7 separate regions of the Mus musculus genome follow, and all the other regions are reported to be linked to region 4. Evidence: microRNA targets listed by miRTarBase, many of them from high-throughput screens and not tested one by one. Region 4 holds a microRNA gene; each other region holds the end of a gene's coding sequence. Distances are between the middles of the regions.

Region 1 (4,468 bases), not on the chromosome of region 4:
TTTATTATTTGACCTAAAGGAGGACAGAAATTTGTCTACACTTAGCTGAAAACAGGACCTAGTATTCCTTCATTCTTTCTTACCTCAAGCTTCTGGATGATCTTATGACCAATAGTAATTTGGTACTTTGAAAAAAATTAAGGTTTGTTTTTATCTGGAAGTGCTTGCTCATAGGTATGCGTGCACACCATGTGTCCCGGGAAAGCCAGAAGAGAGCTCCGGATCCACTGTAGCTGGAGTCAAAGCAAGATGGGTGCTGATGTGGGTGCTGGGAGCCACACTCCCATCTTCCTCGAGGGTAGTGACTTCCCGTAACAGATGACCTCCTAACACAAGAGGTCTCCCTCCAGCTCTAGCAATGTGATATTTTTAAAACATTAAACCTCTACTTTATTAAACATTACCCTGATGTCTTAGTACTCATAAGCTGTTCTTTTGTAACAATAAAGAATATAGAATATCATTTATATACAGGCAAATATTATATTTAACTAATTTTGAATGATAGGAGTCTAAATACTTCCAACTCTGCAGACAGATAGTTAATTTGTCTACCTCAAACAAAAAAAAATGGCTCTACTAATTTAGGATTTCAAAATGAAACTGCAAGTGAGCAAACTTTCTAATTTGGAAGGTATGTATGCACCCTGAAAAGAAACAATCCCCGCTCAAAAACTGACTCCTTTTTCTTATGGCACATTACTCAACACACTTTCCAACTTAAATAAAAAGTTCCAGCCCCTAAAAACAGCTAAAATGGCTTGCTTACTGATATGAAAATTTCCCCCAAATTTAATCAGACATAAAATAAATCCCATAACCCAAGGAAAACCTGTTTTACAATACAGCCCCACGTTTGGGGTCAGACAGCTGAAATGTTTATTTAGCACTACAGAAATCAATCAAAGTTGCCGGTAGGTAGTCATGTACAACAGAATTTGGTTGACAAATTATACTTACATATGTTTTCTTAGGCATAGTCAGCAGCAACTGGAATAATTCAGATTTATTATAGGACAGTAAGGCTGAGAAACACCCGGAGTCCAACAGCTTAGTCTGGTGTGTGGAAGAAACAACCCTGGTGCAGCAGAGTTTCCAGCAGGGGGCTAACGAGGGCAATCTAAAGATGGCTTTGACTGGTGGCAAGAACCCGTGTCCCACAGCCAAGTCTCCTAACTGTGTTCTGTACCTGGCATCTGAATGTTCTGGGGTGTTTCTCCACCCGGCTCTTTACCTTTTGGTGCTTCAGGTACCAGGTACCTTTACATCTCAAAGTCTCTGAATGCTTCTTTAAAAATCAAAGTTCTCAGTATAAAATACATACTTGGAAAGTCTGGAAGGAGACAGAGAAGGAAAACAACAAAGCCACTTTGCCCTGATCACTATCTAAAATCCTTAAGAGGTTTTATGTTATAAATACTAACATGCTTCTGTAATAAGTAACACCTTTCTGATAAAAATCTTCAAAAGATTAAATTAATAGACTTTGCCAGGTGAAAGACTAAAAATAGGATTTACAAGTAACCCCTAAGATTCCACTTGCGTTAAGAAACAAAAGTCTTCTTTGTAAGTACTCAGTTCCAGAACATCTGAACTTGCCAGGGTTTAGCTGAATGCCATGTTTACACTGAAACAATCATTTTACTATAAAAACAAAGTTCAGAATATTTAAAGTTCATGAACTTCTGGTCAGGCTTAAGATAAAAGAGCTCACACTGATTAATGGACCTGAACTCATTGGGCCACCCTGATATTGCTACAAAAGTTCCAGCTGTATGCTCTTGGTAAGGTGAGGTGACAACTCTGTGTGCTTTCTATTTCTTTTCATTCAAACTCCTTTATAAGATGCAAAGGTTTTAACTATCCAATAGAAGGTACATAATTTAAAACATTCTATAGAAATAACATGTTACCAGTAATTTACAATTTAAAAAGAAATCAGCCACAAGAAAAGTCAAAGCTAAAAACAAGATTTTTACTATGAATCAGTGCTTCTATTACCTTCTCAAAGAAGTGATACTGTAATGTGATGTAAAGGCAACATTGAAAGTTCATCTTTAAATTAACCACCTAATTTAACCCTAAAATTACAAAGAATCAGTCTTGTACAGGTCAAGTTCAGTAAACTAACATGTTCTCTCAGCACAAAGCAGCACTAGAAAACAACAGGACAGACGGGAGTTGACTAGTTTTGTGGTATCTGCTCCATTGGTAACAGACATCAGACAGCATCCATCCCAGAGCAGACACAAGTAAAGACTAGGGCAAGAATGCATCACACTCTTGGCTGAGAAATGTCCTTTGTCTCTGGAACTTTCTAGTTTGAATGAAACAAATTTTTCAAAGTAAATCAGGTCGTGTAAATTGGCTGCTTAAATAACATCATGATGAGGTATGAGAGCTCTGAATATTCCTTACATTCAGCAGGATTTACCAGAGATGTGCAATAGCTTGTCAGGGCAACTTCTAGATAGCTTTTATCTATTTTGGGGTTATGATGAATTCTAGAAGAGTAGTCTAAAAAGATTTAAAAGGGTATGCTCTGAAACAGACATGAGCAACTTTTCCTTCAGAATTCATTTTGAACAGAATATCATTGGGGAAAAAAAAAAAGACTCCTCTCTCTGATAGTGTGTCCCAACATTGAGCCAAGATGGCCAACTAGCACCGAGAAGTCACATTGAACTCATTTGCAGTTCTCTTGGCAATTATCCTTTTTTTCTTGTTTCTTTCCCCTTCTAGTCCAAGCACAAATGTCAGTGAACACAGTACTGGAAGCGCCATTTGCAGGTACATTACAGTCATCATTAAATAAGCAGGAGGTGGGCATGTTCTTCCTAGGGGAGGTAGGGTACTAGTAGGAGATGAAATAAAAACAGGGGATACTGAGGTTATTGGATCACTGCCCTTTTAGTCTAGAGGTCACACTGAGGAGACTAGTATGCTTTTAAAGATAAGGATGCTGCACAGCAAAAGCATGTATGCAGCATGATTACATTAGAATCGAGCTGCACTCAACAAAGGAAAAAAAAATCCCTAAGTAACATTTAAATATGTGTTATCTGCCAGTCACGAAGAGGAAAAGCACCTAGGGTGACTCCAATTTACCAGGCCCTTGGTCAGGACCACAAAGCCTGAGGATCATTTGTAATGCAGAAACACAGCCTCTCGTCACACCGGTTTAAACAAAGTGATGGGTTTTATGTTCTTAGTCTTTAATTGGATTTTTGAACATGGTTTTACTTAAGGACTTTTAGCCTTCATACCAGCGTTAAAACTGAACCACTTCCAAATCCTAAGAAACAAAAACAAAGAGAAGCAAAAGCCATACAAACTAATATATGCTTCTCTCCTTCCTGCTTTAAGGAAATCTGCCAAGCCAGGATCACATTTAAAAGTCAAAGTGTTAATTCTTCAGCATTCCTGACAACTAGAAGCACATTCACTGAAGGCTGAAGGTGAGGGATTGGATGGTTTAACTTTAATATCTGAAGAAAATGACTCCATTAGAGGAAAGAAAACCATCCCATCTCAATAAGGATTAATGCAAATGTGGCTAGAAAAAGCCACCAGGTACTCCAAGGGTTGATTCACTGTGGAAGAACTCGAGAAGAGTACTCTGATGTATACACAAGTCTAAATATCTCCCTTGTAGTTGTGTAAAATTCAAGATAAAGGTTTTAGTTTTATCTTTCAATGTCATTTTCCCCACTTTACGGAATGAGGAAGAGTCCTCTTTTTTCCCCCACAAAAAAGGGAGCCACATTAGTATGTGTATATATTCCCATGACTCTAATGTAAGTGCGGATCTCCAAAGCTTAGGGATTTTTCCATAAGAGAGTGGGCCGTTCTGGTTACCCTTGTAATAAAAGGGTATTCCACCACAGAGAGCCAGAGGTTTTCCAGATGTGTGTAAGAGAGCAGGTGCGCAAGGCAAGCAAATGAGCGCAAACAGTATTATGGAAAACATTTGAGAGATTAGCTCCATGAGGACTGTGGGCTCCACAAGAGGACTTGACTGGATAGCCTGGTCTGACACAGGAACAAGAAGGAGAGGATTGCTTCAAAGCTGGAAACCTTCCATAGGAGCTTCACACTGCTGGAAGATGTACTGCTGCTGGCTAAGATCAACCTGGGGTGCGATGCTGCTGTCCTCATCTTCGGTCCCAAAGTAATGCTCAATAAGATCAAAAGCCTTTTGATAGATCTCCTGGTTTTCATGACTCTGTAAGAACTCAATTTTATCCAGACCTAAAATGAAGGATAAAGAATCTTTCTTGAAAACCTCAGTAACTACATTCTTAATTCTACTTTATTGATGTAAAGACTCTATACATACGCATCAGAAATGATTATTGCCATTACATCCAAAGCCCAATATTATAAATTAACATCTTAAATTAAATGCACATTGCAAGCAGTTTCTGGCCCAAGGAAGCAAAGTCTCACTACTGTTGTCTCTGTGTCA
Region 2 (4,468 bases), not on the chromosome of region 4:
ACTGGCTGCTGCTTTAGAGGTCTTGGGTTCAATTCTCAGACACCACATGGTGGTTTACAGCTATCTGAAACCCTTTTCTGACATCTGCAGGCACCAAGCATATACGTGCCACACATGCAGGCAAAACACATACGAAATGAAATGAATAAAGTTAGTAATTTAAAAAAGGAAGGGAAGAAAAGCAAGCAAGGGGGCAAACAAAAGCTGCTTGACTTCAGATGCTGACCAGCAGCTGTGGCTGTGCAAGGTCAGGGCTAGCAGGGTCCTGGCTCACGGCACTGGAGCTCACCATGCTAGCATTTGTTAGCATTAGAAATGGAATCCATGCTGGAACCTCTTTCCGGGGCTTAATGTTGCCCTCCTTAATGTTGTTCTGCTTTCCTGCCCTGTCTCTGAATTAGAGCATTGCCTGATTATGTCCCAGGAGGCTGGGGGCAGTGCTTTGGCCGAGTAAGTATTACTGTGCCTTGGGTTCTTCCATGTGGCTCTGCACTCAGTGGCTAAGACTTTCTGCTTTCCATTTTCTCTCCCTTTACCCTGTTTTCTCTAGAACCCTCTAAGTCTTCCACCCACACTCCACCCACTCTGGTCCCATCAACACACCTATTCAGTCTGGACCCAGCCTCCTATGTTTGCAGATCAGTAAAGCTTTTGCCCATGGAGATTGATTTTCATCTCCCCATCATACTTGAGGCCCAATCGTTGGAGTTGAAATTCTCAACTAGGACAAAACCCACACCTCTGATGGGCACACAGGATCCCATGATGCACTTCTGCCAGAGTGAGGAAAAAAATAGATGGACTTGTATCTGCATCATTGAGCTACTAGTAGAGAACTCTTATCTATATCTGTCTTTTGGTCTACTTTGGTCATGTAATATCACTGTTTCATTAAACTGCCCCAGTTTAACCTGTCGACAAAGATGTCGACAGCATCCATCTCCCCTCCCTTCCCCTTCTCTCCCCCTCCCTCCCTTTCTCTCTCCATCCTTCCTTCCATCCCTCTCTCCATCTCTGTCTCTGTCTCTTTGTCTCTCTGTCTCTGTCCCTGTCTCTGTCTCTCTCAAACATTCTCTGATTTGGAGGATGTAAAACTACCCCAGCTTTGTCCTTGGAATGATGTCTATCTAAGTTTCTTCACAAACACAGACAAGATGATGGATTGCCAGGCAAATGCTTTTCACTCTAGCACAATAACAAGAGTATTTTTTATTTTTCCCCCTGTAGTGCAAACTAGAGTGTTTTAAAAATCATATATCAAGTAGTGTTTTGGAAACCTTGAAGGAAGCATGCTACACAATTTACATTCTATGCGGTCAACCCTTGCTCAGTGGAATAAACATGAGCAAGCTAAAAATACTCCAGGGAAACACATCCACACATAGCATACATCACATGTCTCTGCTGCTTTTTGAAACCTCCTTTTCTTTTTCTCACCTTGCTCTGGGCTACTGGGTAGAATGCATCTTCTACAATGCGGTGTGAACGAGGAGGCTAATAACACATCCAGGGAGCTGGCAGTGATTGCTCATCCTAAAATCCTGTGGCCATGTTCAGATACCATTGGAACGCTTCCAAGGAACCAGGAGGGAATGTCTTAGCTTTGTAACATCTGCTATCTCCACCAGAGCAGAATAACTTGAGCGAAGAATCCCATGCCATCAAGGTGCATTGGTGTTATAGTTCTATATTAGATAAGAAGAGGCAGTGCACAGATGTGGTCTACCCAGCATGTGGTGCCATGCCTTTATCTGCAGGTGCAAGTACTGTTGTGCTCAAGGCAAAGCACCTACTTGGCTAATAGCTTTTCCTTCTTCTAGAGACATTATTCCTGGGACGTGTTAAGTGTTGACCGACTCTCTCTTTTGCACTGTCTAACAGAGGGCACAGGCTAAAGGAGAGGAAGTAGGAAGGTTACCACCTGGCTCTGGGATGGAAAGATAAAGGATGGCAGAATCCTAGAATGGGGGAATTCCCACTAAGCAACCACAGGCAGCTGAGGGGTTTTAAATAGCAGATGTTTTGCAGTAGTCAAGTCAGATTTTACAGTAAGTAGTGAAGAAAAAGTGGGGATGCATGTCTTAATCCTAGTGCTTTGGCAATGGAGGCAGGTGACTGTGTGAATTCCAGGCCAGCCTAGTCTACACAGTGAGTCACAGGTCAGGTAGGGCTACATAATGAGATGCTGTCAAAAATGAAAAAGAAAGAAAGAAAAATAGCTCATTCATTAAAGCATCATCGGACCTCAAGATTAAGGGAATCTCTCAGCCATAGCACATTCTGAATTACACCTGGCTGCTCTGAAAGGCAGTGGTTTATAAACAAACAGCTTCTTGTCACTGACATTCTACCCAGTCACATATTTGCATATCTTAAGACCTATAAAGGGCACAGACATCAGAATGAAACCCACTCTCCATTACTGTAGAATGATATGCAATTTATTCATATACTGACAGTTAGGCAGTACTCAAAATTTATTTAAATAAGCAAGTGATTACACAAACATCTAATAATACTAAAATCGATAGTCCCAAAGTATAAAATACCACGGGTATGAAATACCATGGTAAATACTATTCAACAGACTACAGTCATAATTCCAAACTAAATTACATTTTAAAGAAGATGATTCTTAGCAGTTTGAGGATGATCTTGTTTTTTTTCTTCCAAGCCACTTCTTCCACCGATACAAGGATGCTAATTTCAGGAAATATTGCATGGTATCATTGCTTAGGTTCCTGTGTTCTAACACATTTTCTTGACAAAAGTTTTAAAATATTGCCCCTCAACATAGAAACAAACCAGTCAGCACTCAATCCCCTAAGCAAGGATACTCAGATCTGGGGAGTGCTAAGAACTAAGTCTGGGTTCAGCAAGAGTCAGATAGTGAGAAACCCTTTGCAGCCTTGGAAAGATATGGCTTCTTTTCTGGGGGCTCCGAGCATCATACACATATTTAGACATCCAAGCCATGAAGCGATGGGAGAATAGTAGTAGTTTTCTATCCTGATGACTAGGACACAGTTGTACTGTGGTTAAGTTAGGCTACAGTTCGGCAGGATTTCACACAAGGATGGTTCCTATTTAAGCTAATTTCTTATAGCCTCATTACATTCTGGTGAAGTGCAGTTATATGTGCAGGAAGAGTTTGGCTTATCATGTGTCTGTATTATTTTAAAAGTCTTATGCTTTACCCAAATGAGGTACAAGCAAGGGTCCAGCTTGAGAGGCTAGCAGCAGTCTTCGTGAGACATTTTAATAAATAGGAACACAGAACGAGATTCAGCTAACTCTCTTACGTACAAATTACAGCTAGAGAATTATTATACATTTTTAATATGGAATGATGGGGGGGGGGAGAAAAAAATCTAAAAAAATAGAAAACTTTTTTCATACCTGGGTGCCAAGGACAGATGTTAACACTGCACAATGCCACAATGTGAGCAATCACTGGAGGGTTGATGCTCCAGAAATGGTGATTTTGGGGGAATCTTGGAATAATGACCAAGAGATGAAAATACTGTACCAAAAGGCATGCATATATATATATATATATATATATATATATATATATATATATAGTCACTTATGTGCATTAGGTGTGTGAGCTGTCACCTAAGCAGAGATCTAGGATGACAATGAGGCAGTGTTCTGGGGTATTCATTGAAACCAGTGTGGGCACTACATGTTGATTAAACCTTCCGATGCAGCAAAATGCGGGCACAGCGCCATATCTGGGTTCTGCAGCTGTTTTATGATCCTCTTGCGGAATTTCTCCCTCACGCGATTAAACTCCATTATGTCCATGGGGTCCTCTTCAATCCAAAACTTGTGAAACTCGTGCATCAAATAGCCTGTTTGGGACAAGACAGTGATAAGTCTGCAAGGTCATCATCCTTAGTCACATTCCAATCCTCAGTGGATGAGTTAGACCAGAACAGTCTCCATGGAGGTCACAGCAAACACCAATGATTAGTGAGATCAGTGGAGTAGAAGCTACCAAGCTGCTTATAATCTCCTCCTTTTGCAGCTGGTACGAGAGAAAACTTTTACTCCATAAAGCAGGAGAACAAAACAATGATGTCACCTCTTGAATATGAATCACGTTGGAAACATATTTTTTTTTCCTTAAGTAAAAAGTTTTAAATGTTTATGAGTATTTACCTGTTATGTTTGTTTGTGCACCACGTGGTATGGTGTCCCTCGAAGGCCAGAAGAGGGCATCGCATGCCCTGGAGCTAGAGTTACAGCTGTGAGCTGCTATGTGGGTGCTGGAAATTGAAATGGGATCCTCTGGAAGGGCGATCAGAACTCTTAACCACTGAGCCATCTCTCTAGCTCAACCTTGAGTTTTGGCTCTCTCTCTCTCTCTCTCTCTCTCTCTCTCTCTCTCTCTCTCTCTCTCTCTCTCTCCCCCCAAGGTCTTTGGCTGGCCTGGAACTCGATCTGTAGATCAGGCTGGCCT
Region 3 (4,468 bases), not on the chromosome of region 4:
TGCCAAGAGTCAATGATTGATACAGGAAAAAGAAGCTGAACGGACACTCAGTTCTGTCTGGTACACACTCAGGTCTAAGGTTAAATTTGTAAATTGTCCAACCAGTATGGTCAGATGGGACAAACTGGTCTGTAATGGAAGTTGCCTACACCTACTTCCTTTGCTAGACCTCCAGGATTCCTGAGCTGGATCAAGGCAAAGAGCAAAGGGACTTCTGGTGATGTAGTTAACATGCATCATATAATAACATTAGAAATGTTGAGATGTTTGCTTTCATTTTCACTAAGGATGTAAGTTGAAGTGGGAACTCAAATATTCCTAGGAGAGAACTCTTATTTACTCTGAAATCTACTGAGGTACTTTCCTTAGAGCATGTGAATTTTTTAAAACTTTCCAATTAGGGTAACCAAAAGTGATAATGAGTTAAATACACTATGTAGTTTACAAGCAGATGTCCTGAAGTGAAAATCAGTATTAGAAAAATCTCTTCAGAAACAGGCAATAAATTCACAGCAATACTTGAAATGCTTAATATTTAGTTACAAGGATTTTGTCATAAAAGAAAGCATATGTTTTAAAGATGAAATACATAGGAGATGACGCAGTAGGTAAAGCACTTGCCACACAAGCATGGAAGAATAAACTTAGATCTCCTGAGCCCATATAGAAGTAGACACAGTAATGTGTATATGTAATTCTGTCATTCGTATTGCGAGATTGGGGATATGGAAACAGAATTCCTTAGAAGCATGCAGAGTGGTTGGTCTGGTATATGCAGCAGTAAAAAGGAGACTCTATCTCAAACAAAATGACAAATGATGTCTGACACCTGAGGTTGTCCTTTGACACCTATATGTGTGTGATAGTGTACACAGGCCCACACTCACAAGGGGACATGCACACACACACACATACACACACACACACACACACACACACAAAACATACACACACACAAAACAACTATTTGAAAACTCTAAACACCAGTGTATAGATAGCAAGAAGTCATTTATATTTATACTAGTGTGTAAGTGTTCATGCTTATTTTAGTCTGTGTTAATTTTTGTCTTAGTCTATGTTAATACATAGACACTGATCATAATGATAAACACAACTTTCCCATATTTTGGTTAAGCTGTTACGGATGGACATTTAATTTGTTTGACTTTTTGAGTTGTTACTGCTGAACATATGTATTCAGGTTCTCTTGTATGTTTGTTTTAACATATTTGTAAGAATAGCTTGATCAAGTGTTAGGTATCAAATGTTATATGATATTTTCAAAAAGGTTTCTATAAGGAGTGTATCAATGTATAATCCCATTGAAGATAGAGTTCTCTAATCCTTATTAAAATATTTTAAGTCAATTTGAAAATTATAAGTAAAATACACTGTGCCATGTAAGTATAGATTTATAATGTATGGACGTAATTCCTTTTACTTTCATATTATCCACTCACTTTCCTTCTGGAAATCGCCTTCTAATCTTCTTCCCGTTTTGCTAAATCCATCTATTTCTTGGTGCTTATGATTACTGTTGTGTATCCATATCTTCAGTTCCCACTCGTGACACTAATCCCACCATGGCCATTGCTCACAAACTATGAATTGGCTGCAGGTGTGGCGAGAGGGTCTGTCTCTGATGTTTCATTTCTGTTGCTAGAGTAGTAATTCCAGGGTTGGCAGGTTCTTATTTTTTTAAAGGGCTATGGTTTTAGGTGATTCTGGCTGAATAATCTTCCTTGCCAGCCCTATTGTTGTGTCATGGAAGTCTTAGATATTCTGTCTGCACAGCATGGCTGTGTTCTTGGGAAGCCTTACTGTAGACATTGGGAATTTCCCCCTAAAGTTGGAGAAATCTTATTTTTTAAATTAAATTATTTATTTACTTTACATCCCAACCCTGGTTTTCCCTCCATCCTCTCCTTCTAGTCATCCCCTATCCCAAGTCACTCCTCCATTTCCCTTCAGAAAAGGGGAGTCCTCCATGGATGTCAGCCAACCCTGGCTTATCAAGTTGCAGTAAGACTACCAGCATCTTCTATTGATGCTAGATGAGGCAGCCCAGTAGGAAGGAAGGGTCCCAAAGGCAGGCAACAGATGTCAGAGACTGCCCCTGCTCCTGCTGTTAGGAGTCACACTTGAAGACCAAGCTACACAACTGTAATATATGTACAGAGGGCCTAGGCCAGTCCCCTGCAGGCTCCTTGCTTGCCAGGTCAATCTTTGTGTGACCTATGGGCCCAAGTGGGTTGATTCTGTAGGTTTTCTTGTAGTATCTGTCACCTCCTTGGCTCCTACCATCCTTTACCTCCTCTTCTGCAGAATTCTGCAAGCTCCACTTAATGTATTTGTCTGTGAACCTCTGCATCGGTGTCAGAAAATACCCTCTAAGGAGCATTCATATTTGAAACTAATGATTTGAACTTCCACACACTGGATATTTTGTTTATATTAAAGCTATCAAATATGACCCTAGTTTGGTCTTATTGCTTATATGCATAAAATGATGTATCACACCATACCCAGTAAGCATACATCAGTTCTGTGTTGACTAATGAAAATAAGATAAAAAATACCACCTATGAAACATATGAGTTCTGACTACATGTGTCACTCTTTTATCATCACATGAGGACTTATAAATGGGACATGACTGTCCTGAAGAAACTATATAAATAATATAAAATAAAGCTGTACTGGCCATAGTTCTTAAATACATTTACTGTTTAATAGAGGCAAAGAAGGTTGAACCATTATACCTAATAGTTTTTGAATGAAGAAATTCCAACAAAACGATACAGAATAAATGCATTTTAATATTATACACATGATTACAAACATAATCTCAAGTAGTTCAATCACTTTCTTATTGGTAGATGTGATGTGTGATTTGGTAATTGTAGTTGCTTATGTTTTCTTATTAAGAAGTGTTCTGTTCATTCAAGCAGCAGGCATTTTCAAAGCTAGTTAGCAGATAAGTACCGATAATGACACTCTACCCAGTAAACTTAGAACCTTAGTAAAATTGCTGCCTCTAGTGTTAAGGAAGGAGTAAATATTTTTAATGTTAGAATGTTATGAAAGTGTACTTTTGTTAAGTTAATAATTTTATTCATCATGTCTGTCCTTTATGGTAAGATTCGCTTTTTAAACCTCTACCATCTTAATGTGCATTTACAATAATCCAGGCCTTATCCATTGTCATTTCATTTGATTTACGTCCCTTTGGTTTTGTTGTTATCCTTGTTATAAATGGGAAGTTGGTAATTACTGTGTTTGATGTATCAGATCATACATACATTCTCACTTATTACAAAAATAATATTGTTATTGGTAATTTATTTTAAAATGACAATGAATATTACATTTCATGTTGCTAATTTTGAAGAAATCAGATAAATGATTTTTTTTTGTGGTTTGCCTGCAGTATAGCAATGGGATGCAGTTCATTTTAAAATACACCTGCAGACTAAGATTTTTCCCATATATGTACAGAAAAGGTAGTTAAAAATTATTTTCTTACTTTATTGATTATTTAAAGAATCATTAACTCAACTTCTTTTTAGTGAATGTTAATATATTTGTATGGTGATTTCCTTGGAGCAGTCTGGATATTAAAGACTGAAGCAGCCCCTTGGGTAATGTTCTACATTGGGGTCTCTTCGCTTGGTTCGCCACCTTCTTGTCCTTTCTTCTTGTTTGTCCCAGATGTTGATGTAGAGTTTGAGCACCTCAGCATGCTTGTCAAGGAATTTCTGAAAGACTTGCAAAGAAAAAAGTAGATGAATGGATCAAGGCAGGCGTTCAGTGACGTCAGCCATAGGGTGCTCTCCTTCACGTAGAACAGGGTGTTCTCAGCACTGCAGTCAAAGACGGCCCGAGTTTGGCTCAGGGTGTAGGGAATCCGTGCAAAGTGGAAGGGAACAAAGCAAATAAAGAATACAGCAATGATGATGAAAACCTTGACGTTTACCTTTTTCTTGGGAACTTTGGCTGAACCCCTTGTTCTGACATAAGACCGATAGAGTTCTTTGGTAATGAGGCTATAACAAACGATGACAATTAAAAAATTAATCCAGAAAATGACTTGGCAGATGTAATTGACTATTTCGTGCCAAACTAGACCAAACTCTGACTTTAAGAAAGAACATTTTGTTACGTCCTTATCTTTTGGCCTCCTGTTGGTGAGAATCATGTTAGGCAGTGAAATTAAGAACATGAAGGCCCAGATGACAACAGAAAGAATCTTTGCACCCAAGAGATTGCTGGGGCTGGACGTTTTAAATGGCCTGGTGGTCTTCAGGTAGCGGTCAATGGTTATCAACCCCAGGAACGATATACTGATATACATTGTAAAATAAAATGTGACTGAAGTAACTTGGCACACCAAGGTTCTCAGAGGCCCGGCTCCCAGTTTAGCATCACTAAGAATTTTAAATGGAAAAGTTAGAATCATTAGTAGATC
Region 4 (4,468 bases):
ACAAATAAGCAAAGATTTTTTTTAAGGCTTATACATTTCTTTATTTAATTTGTGAGTTTAACTGCATGTATATATGTGTAAGTGTGTATGGACCTGATATGCAGGAGAGATGGAGACCAAGGTCATCAGTAACAATTGAGTGAAATTCAGGACAGCCCTGCTTATATGATCCCTTGTATGGTCAGGGGGCAGTTGGGGGACGGTAAAATTTAAACAGTTATACCAGGTTCTGAATTTTGGTGGGGTGTATATTCATTTTCTTTGTCTGAGACAGCTTATCTGCCTAGCCTTGAATCTGTATAGTAATCCTTCTACCTCCATCTCTAGAGTGCCAAAATTATAGGCATGTTCCACTCACAACACTTAGCCACCCACCTGGTTTGGGTAGGAATTTAAATTTGCAAATATAACAATCTGATACAATGTGATTTTTTTTTTCACTTTTAAGCATAAATGCACTGGGATAATATCCTCAGAACATTTAGTGTGAATTATTGTTGTCATCTTCTGTTCTGAAATTTGAGCTTTTTAAAGTATGAGTGTTCTGCCTTCGTGTATGTCTGCAGTGCGTGCTGGAGGAAGTGCTTAGGCTCCATGTGGGTGCTGGGAACTGAACCTGGGTCTTTTACAGCAACAAAATGCTCTTAACCACTGAGTAACTCTGCAGCCTTGCAACTTGAATTTCAAAAATTTCCATGTAAAAAATGAGCAAATTGAAATACATATTCAGTTGTCAGTGATCACCATACCTGACTTGGCCTAAACAATCAGTTTAGTTTTCCTTTCATAGCCATTAAATAAAATTTGGGTATGTTGTTGTTGTTGTTGTTGTTGTTGTTGTTGTTGTTGTTGTTGTTAGAACAATTTCTTTTTCAAATATGTTACATAAGCTCATTTTCCTAGAAAAAAATCACATGGAAATGGAATTTTTAACTATTTAGTAGTATGCCCTACAAATGATTCTGTCACTTTTCACATATCAAATTTTAGAACTAGGAATTTAAAATGTTTAGAGAAGAAACAGTTCCAAAGATTTTATAGTGGCATTATTGCCACATCAAAGATATTAACATACCCAGCTTTTAACTTCCCAAATTTGTTGCAGTATTTCATGCCTTTAGCTTTGCTATTTAAGTAGATTTTTTGTGCCCTGAGAATTGTTGCTCTGTCATCAGAACTTAAACCTGGTAGTGTTTTCTCCATGTTCTTAGACAACTTCATAAGATGGCTATGGTTCAGAAGCGTCCTACAAAGGCTTATATGTATGTTAATGGTTCATTTGCAGATAGGGAACCAGAAAGGGTCAGTGTACTAGAATAACAGCCATGGGAGACACTCAAAGGACAGTGTCAGGGTTCGGACCTCAGATTCTGTATTCTGTCATTGTGCTCCAACAAATTACTGGTTGCTTATTATTAAATTCAAAAAGTATCCCATTATTCTGATGCAGTCAAGATGATGATATAGCTTGGGCAACATGCCTATAAATGTTTGTGAAGTGCTAAGCTTTATGGAAACAAGATGAATTAATATTAGAAGTTTTATAAGGTAAAAAGTAAATGTTTCTAAAGAAAAATATTAATGGAAACAAATAGAGTTGAAGGGGGAAATAGGACAATTTGGTTTGATCTATCTTCTTAAATTGTTGTAAAATTCTGTTTTCTTATACGAATAATATTAATTTCAGGTATTTAAAGATTGCCATGTATTCCTATGTACACTCAAGTTACCTTCTTAAGCAAAACATTTTGTTTTCTTTTCAGAATGGCTTTTTTTTCCTTTTAAGAACATTAGTAAAAAGTTGAACTATGTAAAAACCCAACAAAGAAAAATTATTTTGGTCCTTAGGCCAGAATATAAACCACTGAATTTGGAACGGGGCATGATGGTGCACGCCTTTAATCCTAGCATGCAGGAGGGAAACCAGGCAGATAGATCTCTGAGTTCCAGTCCAGCCTGGTCTATAGAATGAATTGCAGGACAGCAGCCACTGTCCTCAAAACCTCTCTCAAAAAACCACTGAATTTGAAATTATAATCATTGTATAAAGATAAAGGACAAAATCACTTTTAGCAGCTTTTATCTTTATTTTCAGACTTTTTTTTTTTAAGCTGGCACACTTGAAAGCAAAGGTTTGAAGATTTAAAGACGTTTTGATATTTCAAATGACCCAACATGAACGGGAATGGAGAAATGGCATTGACCCACTAGAAAACATTTGCTACACAGTAATCTAGTTTGAATGGAAAATCTGGTATGAACTGGAATAATAAGAACAGTTCTTTGTGAAGGGATGGCTAAGTCCCCCACTAAACAGAAAAGAGTCTTCTTAATAGTGTAAGAAAACCTAGATATTCACACACACATAAAATGAAGTTGGAACTTAACGTAGTAAAAATTTTGTTTCAGCTAAGTCAAAGTCCTGTGGTATAAAATGATACTCCTTTAAAGGACTAGCCTTTTTAACTGGGAAACACACAAATGGTTACTTAGGCTTGAGCTACAGGATTTCTGATATATCCTTTTAGGAAACCAAATAGACCTGTTATCCTAAGATGATGTTCTGGGTAATAATAAATGACACTGAACTCACAATAACTATTCCAATATTGAGATAAATCTTGTGTTCATGTGTAGATTGGGGGTTATATATTTTTGGGGAATATGTTTCATGTGTATGTCTTCTAAATATTTTGCTAGTATAAATTTCTTGAAACTGAGCTCTTACATGTTTGTTCTTACATGTTTCCTTTAACATGAAGCTTTGTCCTATGGATTTGGCTTTGAAAGATGTGCTGCTCTTAATAAGGTAAAAACCAACTTTTGTAGCTATTTCATGTGTTAAGCACATTCAAAAGTTGTTAGTTTAATAAATGAGGTTCTTAAGTTGGTATGGGAAAATGACTTGCTTTTCTCGTTTCATGACTACAATAAATTACAGCACTGTATTAAGTTTTCTGTACGCTTTTATTAAACTTATGATATGGAAATACTTTTTATTCTGCTGAAAGCCTATAAAATTATGCACATACCAGTGTTAGATTTTTTTCAAACATAGATTTTATGTGTTCTACTTTTTCCTAAAAAGCCTTTTCTGTAAATTACTATTGAGGTGCTAGGAGTTTTCAAAACCAACCCTTGGAGTAAAGTAGCAGCACATAATGGTTTGTGGATGTTGAAAAGGTGCAGGCCATACTGTGCTGCCTCAAAATACAAGGACCTGATCTTCTGAAGAGAGTACCTGTCTTTTTATTCATAGCTCCTATGATAGCAATGTCAGCGGTGCCTTAGCAGCACGTAAATATTGGCGTTAAGATTCTGAAATTACCTCCAGTATTGACTGTGCTGCTGAAGTAAGGTTGGCAATACTCTACAACTGTAATTCAATGTGTATTGATGTTACTTGTGTGTTTACACGGTTTTTCTAATTGCATTAGTGATTTTATGTTTGGTATGATTCTGTAATGATGTTAGTAACAACGCTCTACATATTGTGTCTGTTAAAATACTATATAATTGTGGGATGGTAATGCAGCTCAGTTGGCCAAGTGCTTCTTGCTAGCATGCACAAGGCCATGGGTTTTAGCCTTACCACTGCATACCAGGTACACTTGTAATCCTAGATCTGAGGAAGTGGAAAAAAGAGAATTAGAGGCTTAACATCATCCTTGGCCATAAAGCAAGTCTAAGACCTATGTAAGGATCTGTCTTTTAAAAACAAACAAAACATAATGACTTCTGTGTGAGGAACTGATTATAGGACTTCTAGATACCCAGATTTGTAAATGCTTGGATCTCCTGTATAAAATGTCTGCTCGTGACCAGTGCATATCCTCCCTTATACTTATTTAAACTTATCTCTACATTGTTTTTAATGTGTAGTGCAGTGGGATGTTAACATGGATAGTTGTATTATTCAAGTTATTCTCTTAATGATGAGAAAAAAACTGTACAATTCAGTACTAATGCAGTTTTTGTCCAAGAAATAAGTTTTTTGGTTTGGTCTTTTGAGCCTGGGTCTCACCATGTAGACCAGGCTGCCATGAAACTCACTGAGATCCTCTTGCCTCCGCCTCCCAAATTCTTTGTTTAAAACTGTAGGCCCCAATGCCTGGCCACCCAAATGTTTTGAATGTGTGGTTGGTTGGATCCACAGATGGAGCACTGACTAATAATATAACAAGTATTTTTAAGTCTTGAACACCTTTCCAGAGTTTCTTGAGAGCTACAGTGGTACAGAATATACCCAGTACCACCAAGGCTCGAGCTCTCTTTCCAGCATTTCCATATAAAAGTTTATTTGAAAGAGTTTAGGAAGTACCAAATTGTACATGAATTTAAACTCATATTATTACTTATAATAGAAAAATACTTTTCTCTTGATTTGAAGTTTTCTTTAGATACAGATAAAGTTTGAAATGCTACAGATTATAACATAATCTTGAGTATAATGTGCCTAAATATTTCA
Region 5 (4,468 bases), not on the chromosome of region 4:
TTCTTCTTCTTCTTCTTCTTCTTCTTCTTCTTCTTCTTCTTCTTTTTGTTTTTATTTTGAATTTTTATTAGGTACTTATTTCACTTACATTTCAGTAAAGAGATCTACCCAGGTATATGAAGCCCTGATACTAAATTTTGGCCTTTGGGGACATCCTGTGGTTGCATAAAGAGAACTTGATAAGAAAGGTAGAATATACAGATTCTATACACTTGCTCTGCATCTTTTTGAAGTCCACATTACTATTATTTCTTTAGATTCACGCAAGACTTGGGAGTTTTCCATTTCCTATGTCTTGCTGACTGGAAATAAGCATTCCAACACTTCCAGAACCCAGGTTAAGGTTTTATGAAAAATGGCAGGATGCCTCTTAGGACGTAAGTAACTGTTCGTGGGACTCACTGTGCATCTATCATGTCTGAGACACTGTGTTCCATTTGTAGGTGACTTTAATATAAAGCTGTATTATTTAAATATTCTAGAAGATTATGGGTCTACTATATGTAGGCAGCTGTAAGCACTAGGAAATACTTAACTTTTGACTAGAGTAAAAAAGTTAGGAGAAGGCTCCAAAGGAGAGGGAACTTTCGACAATCATCTCTGAGAACAAACTCTGGACCCATGCTTGGGGAGTTGTTTCTTGGGAAAGCCAATGAATGACACCCTTTGGCTTAAAAACGTTAATCTGGAGTCTCTTTTTGTAACTGTCACCTTTTCTGAGCACATGCCTCATTCTTAGCAATCTTCATTTTGAAAAAACCCAAACTACTACTACTATGTCCAGTTCCTTAAAGAAATCCCTAAGTAAGTCGGATTCTTATAGCATTGGTTTGAATTTTTTATTTCTGGGTTGTTGAACTGAGTATGTATTTAATAAGAGCCAAATATAAAGCTGTATTACTTAAATATTCTAGAAGATTATGGGTCTATTATATGGAGGCAGCTATAAGCACTAAGAAATACTTAACTTTTGACTAAAGCATTATACAAATGTTTTGAATATATTGTGAGCCCTCTTTATTTTTGTCAGTTTAAACAAATGCAGAAATTTCTGGAGGAATGGAAATTACTTTCTTATCAAAATGAAATAGAAAAAATATAGCAAAGTTCTTAAAAGCAGGCTCTTGCTTTTCATTTGAGCATAGTGTATAAAATCCTGAGTCCTCCTGCCAAGTTTGATGTTTTTTCCCATTTCCAGAGAACTAACTGCTGGTGGCAGAGATGCTGGCTGCCTCTTCAGCTTTGCCCTGTGGGGCTCAAAGAGATTTATAAGTTTAAAGGGTCTTGTATGGAGTGAGCTAGACACACAAGCTAGACAAATTCAGGCTGCCTCACACCGTCATAGACCTTGGAATTCACTTGCCACCTGGAACCCTGGGGAATTTTACTGTGTACACGTGAGCCACTGGAAAGATGATGGGAACAAGAGCTCAGCAGAAGCCGTGTTGGACTAAATACATGTTACAATCACTGAGTTAATGAAACCAGTCTCATGGTTCCAATGTATATTCAAGGCATGACAATACGACTTATTAAGAGTCACCAATTGCTAAAATAAATTATTTGTTTACTGAATTTTTCAAGAGTTGTGGAGGAAATATAACTCTGACTAAAAATGGAAAGCATACATCCAACTTTTAAAGATTACACTCCCTGAAATCATTGAAAGTTTGAAAAACCTCGAGTTTTATAAAAATTCTGGTTGTCTTAACTTTACAACTAGATGTTACAGAACACCTTTCATTATAACTTATTCCATGGAATTTGAAATTTGAGGTTTGTAGCAAACCCCAACCTGAAATTTGAGGTGACTCTCATTGATATCAAATGCCTCTAAAAAGTGGCTCTCCTTTCTTTTTATTATTAGACAGGGGAATACACTCTGGGGAGTGGAGGAAGTTATGGTAGTTCAGTAAACATTTTTCCAGTTCGAAGTAGTGGATTATTTTTAAAATATTCATTGCTATGATAAGAAATGCTTTATTTCAGGTCAGTCAACTGCTGTCTACCTCAGTGCCCAAATATTGAACAAAAGCATTCTGTCCCATTGAATAACATCACATAGTTCCTCGAAAGTACTTCCAGAAAAAAAAAAAAATCTCAGTAAATTGAACAAGCACTCTTGTTGAAGGAAACGTTTTGCAAATGGACCAGACTTTCTAATGAACCATTTGAACAAGCCCTCTCTTTGACATCAGATTTCCTTCCCGACATAAAACTGTAAAAAAATAATCTGAATTATTATTTCTGTTACAGTGCCATTTTGCTCAAAATATTTCATTCAGGGATTCATATATAATTACCCACCTAATAAAAGGAGCTATTAGGTTGTAAAGATCCTATCCTTGCCATGCTCTCTTAAAATTATGACCTACTCAAGCTTGAAATCAAAGGCAGAGCTGAAAGGAATAATTCAGCTGAAACTCTCATCAAGTTTTCAAGTCACCTAACTGATAAATATGCAAACTAGTTCCCTCTTGGCGACTCAGCTGCATAAATAGGGATTAACTCCACATACCGCTGAAAGTTCATGGGCTAAAAGGGAATGCACAGAATGTTCTTATATTCAGCTGGTTTCAAGCCGTAGATACATGGCGATAGAAGTTTAAAATTCTAGTCCACAGTTTAGATGCTGCATGGAAAAATACCTACAGGAGTTATGATGTGCAGATGTGAAGTGGCACCCATCCCTCTCTCCTCCCTGACTGTCTTAGGCATGGGATGGAAGGTTGCCTTGCCAACAGAAACCTGTGGTCAACATCTGTCAATGTTGCCTGGCACAGCTCGCTCAATGAAGATGCTATTGGTGGAAGGGACATCAACTCATGAAAAGGTACCCTGGGATATGGTTTTTCATGCTCCTTTTCTTTCTTGAGCTCGCTCTCAGGAAGTCTACTATCTCCACAGAGGGATATTGGGGACACAGGATATATGACGCATGGAGTTGGCCATTTTAGCTAAGGCTACTTGCCCAGGAGAAGTAGGGGAATGGTTGGGGATGGAGGATGGTGGAGTTTTTCTGGCCAAACTCCTGAAGAAGAAGCCTTAGTGAAACCCAGACAGGCCATCACAGTGTGGAGTGGCATAGAAGCCACTGAAATCGAAAAATGTCCTATGACAAGCTCAAGTACACAATCACCACGTGTCTGAGAAGATTGCATATTGTATTCTCCTTCTAGAAAGGTGTTGTTGCTGGCAGGATGCCACCAGTTGAGGATTTTTAAGTTTCTACTTGCTAGACATAAACGTTAATCAAGGATGGATTTACAAATACTTGCTAAAATTGGTAAAAAGTTTATACCCACTCACTAACATCAGCCACTTTTGTGAGATGGAATGATTGAGCTATAAACAAGCATTCACTGCCTTTTGCTTATTCACTTATTTTCTTTTATGCTGTCAGGAAAATATCCAATCCTTTGGTGCTATGGAGTGAGAGAGTTACCATGGATGCTCTGTAGCTGAAAAAAATAGTGAGTTTGTATTGATTTGTTATGGCATGGTACAGGCTGAAATAATGCACTTGTGAGACTAGACCTACACAGAAAATGAAAGGTCTCACTGAAGGAAAATGTAGGCATTAGTTATGACACCATGGTCCCTGCAGTGACAAAGACCCAGAACTATGCTAGCAGCTTCAGCCTTGACTTTGCAGTGAAGATGCATCTTCGGGACCTCATGACCATCATCGTATACTCCTGATGTCCATATAGGATGGGATACTGTTTTCTTCTGAAGTGCTTCAGATGTTCCTTAACCGAATGGTCCAGATGGTTGACCTGTACACTGGTAAGAGTTTTTGGACACAGGTGTGCTGTTTATGGATAATTGGTATGCTGTAAAGTTCCCAGAAGATCTCAACGTTTTGGCAATGAGTGTCAAAAGGCAGACCCTGTGATGGCGTTGAGTTGCTTCATTAGCCCTTCCAAACTTGCCATTTGTTCGCTCAAGTCATCCTGTTCATATACCTGGAGAGAGAATGAGAACGGAGTCAGGATGAGGTCTTGGTAGGCTCCTACCATGATAGATCCACTTAGTGTCTGGCTGTAAGTTGGGTCACTTATTATTCTTGAGATTTACATAGGGACTGATAGGTAGAGCAGCTCTCAGAATATTTTAACTCAATGAACTTGTAATAGCAAAAGAGCTACCAATAAGCTACTGAATACTGCTTCCATGTACTCTATACCTTTAATAGGGAAAAAAGCTTCACTGTTAAAAATATACTATTTTAAGTCATATTCTTCCAATGGCTAGCTTTGTAGTAGTGAACAAGTTAGAAGATTTCTCTGTTGTATAATTCTACTTGTCTGTGAAATGATAATGGTGCCTATTTTATAGTTTATTCTGAGCATCCCCTGACATGCTCCCTGCATGTCACAATGTCTGACCTGTGATCCATATTAACACAGTAGTTCCTCTTCGTTTTGATTGGCTATCTATAAATAGGCATCTAAAAAGTATCTAA
Region 6 (4,468 bases), 7.1 Mb from region 4:
GGTTTCTTCCTGATCCACAAGTTGGAAACAGAGAGAGCCCGCTGGGAATGGCCTGGGCTTTTGAGAGCTCAAAGCTCACCCCCAGTGACATCCCTCCTCCAATGAAGCCACACCTACTAATCCTTTTCAAACAGTTCCACTAACTGGGGGCTAAGTATTCAAGTATGCGAGCCTGTTGAGGCCACTCTCATTCAAACCGCCACTAACTCCATTTCTGACGTGGGCCAGTTTGTCTCTCCTTAGGCAATTCTAGTAGTCTTTCACTCCCAGGAAGTCACCACATTGATGCTGAACTTAGTGTGGTCCTCAGTGGCCTAATGCACTGTAGCCCTGAACTCCAGGACTCAACTGATCCTTCTCCCAGTCTCACCCTGCCTGGCCTGACAATCTCAGTGGGCTTAGAGAGGTACTTCTAGAAGTCCTAAAAGCAGTAGGGTTAAATGTTATTCATTTTAAGGTGGTAAATGTCAAGATCTCAAGTGCTCTAACTTGAGTCAAGATCCCTTAATTATGAAGTATGGGTGTTTGGGCTACATGTCTGTGCAGCCTGTGTATGCCCACCTACTGCCTATGGAGCTCAGAAGAGGGCAGCAGATCCCCTGAAACAGGAGTTATGGAAAGTTATGAACACCATGTAGATGCTGGAAATTAAACCCAGGTCCTCTGAAGAACCAACAGCTACTACTCCTAACCGATGACCCAGCCCTCCAGCCCTCCAAGGGGCGCTGCATCCCACCCACAGTGCGCGGCAGGCTAGTCTTCCATCCTTGCTTCAAAAGTCACATTGGCCACCCACAGTCACAGCAGCGCCTGGACTTTGTCAAATGAGTCCACATTGCCAAAGGGGCACAGGAATGCTTAAAAACCAATCAGCCACTTCGGGGAGAATTTACCCAATGTTGGAGTTTGGGGGGACAACGGCAGCACCATCTCCTAGGTGAAGTCAGTGACCTGGGCAAAACACCTCTAAGGCAACACAATTAAGAAGTGGAACTATTGCCTTAGAGACTGCAGTGTTCTGTAATGAGCCAAGACTACTCTTAAAAAATAGTCCACAGCTGCGGAACTTAGGGACCCAAATCTTTAATCTCAGAACTCAAGATGCAGAAGCAGGTAGATCTTGAATCCCAGGCCAACCAGGGCTACGCAGACCCGAAACTCAGTAACAAAAATTAACTTGCCTGGTCTACAGAGTGAGCTCCAGGACAGCCAGGGCTACACAGAGAAACCCTGTCTCAAAAAACCAAAAAGTAAATAAATAAATAAATAAATAATAAAAATAACTTGCTGGTTGGCACTGTCTCTACGAAGCCCGTCCCAGTGATTCTCTCTACATGGCCTCAGGAATGGAACATGTGGTGAAAATCAAAAGCCCAGGGAAGCAAAAAACAAAAACAGAAACAACAAAAAACAGAGAAGCTAACATAATAGTAATACAATAAACAAACTTTCCAGTGATTGAGAATTGAGGAAGAAATCCCAATCCCTTTGTTCCAGAGTGACAACAGGACTGGCTCCCTCTTGTTGGGCGGCCCCCTCAGGCAGCAGACCTGAGACCACATCAGTCCCTAGGTATATACTGTCATAAGATGCAGGCAGCGGCAGTGGGTACCCAGCCCTATGAGGTTTCTCACCAACTCTGATCCCAAAAGGTTCGCTTTGTTCCTTCAGGCTTGTGGGGAGCCTAAAGCTCCACTATTTCCTATATTCTTGACAAGGAACCATGGCAGCTGGACTCCTCTTTCCAGATCATGGCGTGCACTTGTGAGATCCATCAGAACAAAGGCTCACTCCCATGGACTAAGTCCCTACAAAGGAGACAAACTCAAATGTCTCTTAGTAACCCAGGAGATGGGCAAGGACTCAAGCTTTAAAGGCATCTTTGGGAGACGCTCACCACTAACTCCCTGGTTAAGTGACTTACAGAAGGAAAGCAAACGGATGGAGAAGATTCACTTGTTCTCTCCAGATCTAGATGCCAACAGGCACCTGATTCAACAGCTTGGGCAAAGCCCATGGAGGATAACCTTGACTTGAGGGTAGTCTGTTTTCTTGGACATGGTTTTGAATGGCCCCATACCTCCATCCTAGGTAGGCAGCTACCCACCCTCTAGACTGCCCCTCCTGACCGCACTCCTTGGGACTTAAGTATTGTCACATGCTCCTCTGCTACACTGCTGTTGACATCAGACTCTGCATGGCCCCCTATTGCAAATGTTAACTGAGATAATTTCTTGGCTGACACGAGTTCTGCAGTATTGTTCTAAAAAGAACTGATGGTGCCAACCCTCACTTTCTTAGGTTTTCCAAAACTCCTGGACACTTCAGCTGCCCACTCCCTGCACTATTCCAAAAAGTTACTGGCTGTTAGAGATGTTTGGAAAGGTAGTAACATTTCACTGTACAGACTTCAAATTTCCCTTCTGCAAAATGGAGGAATGGTCTAATCACTCTGTGGTTTTACTGGAGACGCCTGCGATCCATCTAAGGAAGGGAGAAGCTAGCGAGCTTTAGTCATATCCCCACAGTGTCTCTTTCCTAGAGAAATCAACAAATGGACTTAATGGACCATACAGAAAAAGCATATAACCAGAGGTCCTAGGGGCGGGGCGGGGCTGAAGGGCTTGACACATGGGGTCGAACGCAGCATGAGCAGGACTCAGAACCTCACAGGTTACCACTGAGTACTTCCTGCTCGACTACTGACCATTCCCAGCTTCTTGGGTCTCCTTGGGTCTTAGGTAAGACAAGAGCACAGACCTCAACATGCGGGATTTGAGTGAGGTGCAGGAAACAGGCAGGCAGAAAGAAGCAGGGTAAAGCAGCAGAGGCCGTAACTTCACTTTATTTGTTTCCTTCAGACACAAACCACCCAAACAACAACAGAGTAGGGCAAGAAGAGCGCAGGTCAAGTGTTCATGCACGCAGCCCGGGCTCTTCCACAGCCTTCGCTTTCTCTCCTGACCCCTGGGGAGCTCTGGCGGCTGAGCATCTGCTGAGGTTGCTTCATCCAGAGCTGCTGAGTTCTCATGCCCAAGCCAGAGGCTCTGAAGACTGCTGCTGGCTTGTGTCCTCTAGTTCTTTTTTTTTTTTTTTTTCGTTTTTTGGAGACAGGGTCTCACTATGTAGCCCTAGGTGGCCTGAAACTTGCTAGGTAGACCGGGCTAGCCTTGAACTTAAAGAGATCCATCTGCCTCTGCCTCTGCCTCTGGAGTGCTGGGATAAAGAGTATGCACCACCATGCCTGGCAGTCCGGGAATGCCTACCCGTTGGCCACCATGACATTAGGTAGGAAAGCAGCCGGAACCGCTCCTCTCTGGCGGCTGAGGGTCTCACTGAGGAACTGAACCAGCAGATGTTCTACACCTTCTGTGCTGTAGGAAGAGAACTCAGAGCTGCTTCCAAGGTTTTGACACTGTGTGCAGGGCTAGAGGCCAATGGTATAGGAGCGGCCGGTAGGGTTGTGAATAGAAGAACAGACGGGGGCCGTCACCGCCCACTCGTACCACACTTTCTTGGAATTGCTGCATCGCCAGAAACGCACACAGATGTTCTGGCCTTCGTGCACCGTGATGGGCTGCTGTAATACGAAAGACACAGGCGGCTTGAATGAGGAATTGTACTTGGCAATGATGGTGGGACAGACAGAGATTAGACAATAAACAGCCAAGTGTAGGGACAAACCTATAACCCAACACCCAGGACGCTGAGGCAGGAGAATCAGGATTTCAAAGCCAGCTTGAGCTATAATTCCAAACCCTTTCTCAAAAACCAAACAAAAGATAAATACAACAAAATATTCTGCCCCTTGGGGGCTGGAGTGATGGCTCAGTGGTTAAGAGCTCTGACTGCTCTTCCTGAGGTCCTGAGTTCAAATCCCAGCAATCACATGGTGGCTCACAACCATCTGTAATTAAATCAGATGCCCTCTTCTGGGGCATCTAAAGACAGCTACAGTGTACTTACATATAATAAATAAATAAATTTTAAAAAAATATATATTGACTCTCATAAAAGTTAGCTATCCTGTCAAAATATGGAACCCCCGGACAGTGACAAGGACACAGTAAACACTGTACAGGAAGGGAGCCATGAAAGCACTCAAGAGGAAGCTGGCCTATTCTTGGAGGTCAGGAAAATGGCCTGATGGTAGAGACATTCCAGGAAACCTAGGGCAGTTAGCAGGGTGGAGACATGAACAAGGAACCTCACAGGCAAAGCAGAGAGAACTGGAAGCCAACCCACCAAGCCAGCTCTCACCTGAGGGCAGTGGGAAGGTGCTGAGGGGCTTAGATAGAAAGGCAAACTCAAATAATGTAAAATTCATCCCTCTTCCAGGTAAAGACTGGACAAGAGAGGCTGGAGATGTGGGGAGTCCAGGTAGCTTACTTGGGTATCCCCAAGAGGACTGCAGAGCAAGTGACAGAACAGAACATGGGTCACAGCCAACTAGCTGAGGGACAGGAGA
Region 7 (4,468 bases), not on the chromosome of region 4:
GCTCCCTGGCTCTGGGAAAGCCCAAACCTTTTGTTCCGAGATGCTCTGAGACATTTGACTAAAAATACTCCAGGAGAACTTAAAGGCCTTTTCAAGGACAAGTATGCACCTCACATCTACCAAAGACACCATGTTGAGAGCAACAGTTGGGCCTTAAAAAACAATAGCAGCCCAAGACCTGACTTAGAAATAGAAAACTGCTCAGTTTGGGCAAATCTTCAGTTTTACATTCAACTATGAATGCAACAAGTTTGAAGTACCTAGACAACAAAGTATTAAAGATACTGAAAAGCCAAGACTAATCTTATAAAGCTGTCTTTCCCTTAGATAAACCCTTCCCCAGCCTACATATTGCCTGGTGCTATGGAAATCACTAAATCCCGAAACTGTAATGATATATTTGTTTGTAAACTGGTGTTGAAATTTAGAAAACTATACCAAAAATAAATTCCAAACAAAATTTAAGCAGCAACAAATTTGCAATTATCTGACTTGGTAAAAATTACCAGTTTCATGGGGAAACAAAACAAAACAACCCCCTAATTATTAAGTAACGCTACTGTAAAAGTATGAAAAAGTAGGCACAAATATAAGTGCCCCTGATTCCAGCAGTTGCAAGGCAAAGGCAGTGAGTTCAAGGCCAGCTACAGCGTGAGACGTCCACTTAAAAAACAAAAACAGAAACAAAAACAAAAGAAAAAACAAAGTATTACATATTTACTTACTTAATATATACCAATATTTATAGCTAGTCTTAATTTTAAAATAGGAATTTGGGGCATATTATTCCATAAAGGGCACTATCCTGTATACAAAATAATTTCTTTTGTAGGTAATATTACAATGTCAATTCTCTGCTTACAATATATAATAAATCTGGTAAGACGGGAAAATGTTAGTTCAGAATTTCAAATACATTTTCATTAGACCAAGTCTTCTTTTGTGTGGGGGAACTGACAGGGGAGTTATGAATTGAAGACAAGGTCCACGTGCATGCTAGGTAATTTCTTTACCAGGATTGTTTAGGGAAGGAATCTTGCATATAGCCTAGGTTTACCTTTTCTCTCCAGATCCTCCTACGTTAGCCTCTACAGTACTGAAATTATGGATAGGCACTACCACATCCAGATAAATCAGACATTAATAAAAGCACTTAGCACCCAGACAGAACTTTGAGAACACAGAAAGAAGACTACAAGTTTCCAGTTAGCTTCAGCTCTTCACTAGGACAAGTCCTGGACACTGCTTAGAAACAGTGAGAAGCCGTTGTGTTGAGTAACTTTCAACATACAGTGTACATGTGATAATGGCAATCAACTGTGCACCATGGCTCTGGACTGTAGCAGTGATGCCCTCACTTGCATGGAGAGACCTTTCTGCTGAATAGTCCTTCATTCAGCATGGTGGCTACTTCTGATGTTTCTGAGTCCAAAGAGCATAGACCTCAAGTTGATTTCATCAAGTCTATTTATTAATGCATTTCAAGTTTCAAAAAACCTTACATCTTTGCACAATACTTTATTTTTTGCAGGTTTTAGTAAAAATTTCCAAAGTGAACAACAAAAAAAAGATACTGTATAAAACACAGTGGACATTAAACTGACAGTAGTATTAGATCTCACTGGTCCTGGTCCTTTCATTTTTTAACCACATCTTGATTTGTAGTGGAAACAGTTCAGTGCATGTATCTCTTCAGAAAACATTTAACTTAGACTCAAAATAAAATAGGGCAAAACCCTACCACAGGATAACATTACAAGCAAAAAATGTACATGTTCCAAAGTCTACCACACTCAAGAAGTTACTAAGAACTCTTGCAGAATAAAAGTCACCATTTTAGAAATGCAAATCCACTTCCAACCTTTGCACAGTCCAAAAACAAAGGCATTTGAATGATTTAAAGCAGTGTCATACACAGCTACCTACTTGTTGGGTTAGAATTATTTATAGTCTATCTGGGGTTTCATGTACAAAATTTGTCTCTAAATCATGTACAAAAAGCTGTTTTGAAAAAAGTCCCGCGTACTGTACAAGTTTACAAGGAGAGATCCCATTGTTTCTCTAGCGGTTTTGGCCTTGCTGGCTCGCGTCACATTGTGAGTGATTGTGTAAACCTTAGACTCTTAAGAAAAAAGGAAAAAAAAAAAAAAGCCAAACACAGTAATCTTGTCAACCTTCTCTAGATTGCCTCCTATGTAAAGCCAGGAAGATCACTGCTGCTGACTTCTAATTTAAGTGATGTAGCTGGAAAACAGAAGCAATGAATATGTCACAAGCTTACATTTTTTAATGCCCCCTCCATTTTCTGCATAGCGATAAGCCTGTTAATACATTAAATGCTTTTGCTTTCTCTTTCTTTAAAAAAGCCAATATTTTATCTGCTTAAAAAAGAAGTTTGTAATGGGACACTGTGCTGTCTACCTTCATTGTTGCTAAAATGTTGGGGGGAAAACAACGTCGAAAAACCTATCTACAATTTCAACTACCTGCTGAGCAAATCACCCATCTCTAGTGGTTACCAGTGATCAGTGACAGTGCTGAAGAACTAACTGTCCAAGTATTTCAATGAAGACACTGATTTTCTTTTTCATATTGGATAAAAACAGAATTAGCAGGCTTGAAGTATATGGAATACACAAAGTAATAAGCAGGCTACAGATGAAAATTAATCATTTCCAACATAATTCCAAGGCATGAAAAAATTCACCTAGCAATTTAAAAATGGAATTGATTTAGAAAGTATAAAATACTAAGCAGAAATCAGACATCTACAAAAAGAGCTGACTCTGAAGCCAAATGCTGTTGCTGTCCAGTTTGCAAGCCATCAGCTGCGTTCTTCAGCACAGCCTCTCCTGCTCACAGCAGCCATGTAACAAGGAAAAAAATGTATGTAAGAACCAACTCCACCATAAGAAAAGGGAAAATGATTCTCATTTCAAAACTGCCTGCATAAAGCATTACAGAATCCTGGACCACTGCACACCACCATTCTCTGTTATCCTGAGTATGTCAATTAAACAGTAATTTTTCATTAAGAGCGGAAAAATTTATAATACAAAGAAACATCCATATTGCAATTTCTGTTTACAATTGCACAGAGAAGTACAGTGTACGTAAGAAATACATGTCTGCATATAACAAGGTATGTACATTGGCAAGTGATGTATCCAATGTTGAGGTGGTCGAGCCTCCCAGCCTTGATTGGCAGTTGAAAAAAATATATTTCAATTTGTGATAAAAGTTTATCGAGAGCCAAGTCTGTCTGCAAGTGAAGAAAATGCAGCAACGAAGAACAGGGAACATGGGGCACATAATAATATTCTAAGACTTTGTGCCATTAGGTTAAAAATATCTGTTCATAAGAAAATTGGGTTCCTTTTCCATCCCACCCCCACCCCCAAAATTGGAATTTTCAGGCTTTAAATTTTGAGTAATTCCACCTGATCTGAGGACATGATCTCTTGCCATTTTTCTTCAACTATTAACTGTAAGGGTATCATTTGCAGATGATGACTTAACAGGTTTCTCTTTGGAGTGAAGTTTTCCCACTGTAGGCACTAGGAAGAACCAAGGCAAAAGCTGCATTAGCGTCGCATGTGTCCCATTTGATAACTCTCTCGGGGCCTCTGACGCGGGGGCTGCTGAATGGGCTGTGGCGGTCTCCTCCTCTTTAAAGTGCCTGCAACGAAAGCAAAACAGCTCCCTGAGCACCACCTCCTAATCTTCAAAAGGGAAGCACTCTTTCACCAAGAAAAGCTATTTTTTGGCACTGACCAGCAGAAATAGGTACCCCGTAACACTTTTCAGTTTTCTGGTGGCCATAATAAAATAAAAATAAATTTTAATATTTATTTTATCTAGGCCAATTCAAGTTAAAAATACCAACTGTAGCATGTACTCAATATAAAAATTACTAAAATATTTTACTATTTTATGTTGTCTTTAAGTCTGATCCATATTTAATATTTAACAGCACATCTCAGTGGAGATGGGGCACATTTCAAGTACTTAAAGAATTAGACTGACCAGTCAGAATTATTTTAGCTTTGAGAGCAGAATCTCTGACTGGAGCCCTGACAGACTCTTGAGGCCTGTCTGCACAGCAGGATGGGAAGTCATTCACACAGTCTATCATGAAGACTTTAAAGCCGTCCTTAAGTCAGCACTTTTATGAAGATTTAACAAGTGACGATCATTTTCAGAGGTGTCAACACACAAGTGCATTATCTGCTCCAATGAAGAAGGACACCATGGCAACCATGCCTCAAAAGTGTCCTATAGCTCTTGGAAATGTGTTCAACTCACACAAGTGCCTGGGTTCTGACTTAGGAAACTTAAGAAAGCAAGTATATCAAATCAGACATCCTCCACCCCCATCATGACTCCTGGGCACTCTTGTCCTAACACGGGAAAATGCAAGGAACAGCTGAGGGGAAATACAAAGTAGAAGAAACCACTCTGAGGCAAG

What was found. The annotated mature microRNA mmu-miR-15a-5p reads UAGCAGCACAUAAUGGUUUGUG and lies in region 4 at 3,150-3,171, shown strand. An mRNA with a match to its seed (bases 2 to 7 or 8) in the 3' UTR can be bound and repressed. Matches are read on the target gene's strand: a 7mer-m8 pairs with bases 2 to 8, a 7mer-A1 pairs with bases 2 to 7 and ends in A, and an 8mer does both.
Region 1: the mRNA of Kpna1 is a reported target of mmu-miR-15a-5p. Seed matches in the 3' UTR shown: 7mer-m8 at 2,149-2,155.
Region 2: miRTarBase lists Elmod1 as a target of mmu-miR-15a-5p. Seed matches in the 3' UTR shown: 8mer at 3,235-3,242.
Region 3: miRTarBase lists P2ry12 as a target of mmu-miR-15a-5p. Seed matches in the 3' UTR shown: 7mer-m8 at 2,947-2,953.
Region 5: miRTarBase lists Dcc as a target of mmu-miR-15a-5p. Seed matches in the 3' UTR shown: 7mer-A1 at 3,630-3,636.
Region 6: miRTarBase lists Prmt5 as a target of mmu-miR-15a-5p. Seed matches in the 3' UTR shown: 7mer-m8 at 2,821-2,827.
Region 7: the mRNA of Adam10 is a reported target of mmu-miR-15a-5p. The part of its 3' UTR that is shown has no 7-base or 8-base seed match.

What each region holds. Positions count from the first base shown.
Region 1 is chr16:36,033,504-36,037,971 of GRCm38, reverse strand. It overlaps Kpna1 (karyopherin (importin) alpha 1), which reads right to left. Exons shown (of 14, transcript NM_008465.5): 14 at 1,810-4,251. The coding sequence ends at 4,064. Among named protein-coding and RNA genes, the nearest start is that of Wdr5b, 5.5 kb to the left of the region's middle.
Region 2 is chr9:53,909,038-53,913,505 of GRCm38, forward strand. Elmod1 (ELMO/CED-12 domain containing 1) reads right to left here. Exons shown (of 11, transcript NM_177769.4): 11 at 2,423-3,857. The coding sequence ends at 3,685. Among named protein-coding and RNA genes, the nearest start is that of Gm39340, 12 kb to the left of the region's middle.
Region 3 is chr3:59,213,560-59,218,027 of GRCm38, forward strand. P2ry12 (purinergic receptor P2Y, G-protein coupled 12) reads right to left here. Exons shown (of 5, transcript NM_001357008.1): 5 at 2,712-4,468. The coding sequence ends at 3,650. All of the region lies in intron 15 of Med12l (mediator complex subunit 12-like), which reads left to right. Among named protein-coding and RNA genes, the nearest start is that of P2ry13, 4.9 kb to the left of the region's middle.
Region 4 is chr14:61,630,778-61,635,245 of GRCm38, reverse strand. It overlaps Mir15a (microRNA 15a), which reads left to right and starts at 3,136; the gene lies at 3,136-3,219. It overlaps Dleu2 (deleted in lymphocytic leukemia, 2), which reads left to right. Exons shown (of 7, transcript NR_028264.1): 4 at 2,763-2,809. It overlaps Mir16-1 (microRNA 16-1), which reads left to right and starts at 3,274; the gene lies at 3,274-3,366.
Region 5 is chr18:71,255,112-71,259,579 of GRCm38, forward strand. Dcc (deleted in colorectal carcinoma) reads right to left here. Exons shown (of 29, transcript NM_007831.3): 29 at 1-3,968. The coding sequence ends at 3,879. Among named protein-coding and RNA genes, the nearest start is that of Gm41772, 610 kb to the left of the region's middle.
Region 6 is chr14:54,504,368-54,508,835 of GRCm38, forward strand. It overlaps Prmt5 (protein arginine N-methyltransferase 5), which reads right to left. Exons shown (of 17, transcript NM_013768.3): 17 at 2,815-3,580. The coding sequence ends at 3,428. Among named protein-coding and RNA genes, the nearest start is that of Prmt5, 11 kb to the right of the region's middle.
Region 7 is chr9:70,777,211-70,781,678 of GRCm38, reverse strand. It overlaps Adam10 (a disintegrin and metallopeptidase domain 10), which reads right to left. Exons shown (of 16, transcript NM_007399.4): 16 at 1,450-3,679. The coding sequence ends at 3,585. Among named protein-coding and RNA genes, the nearest start is that of Adam10, 100 kb to the right of the region's middle.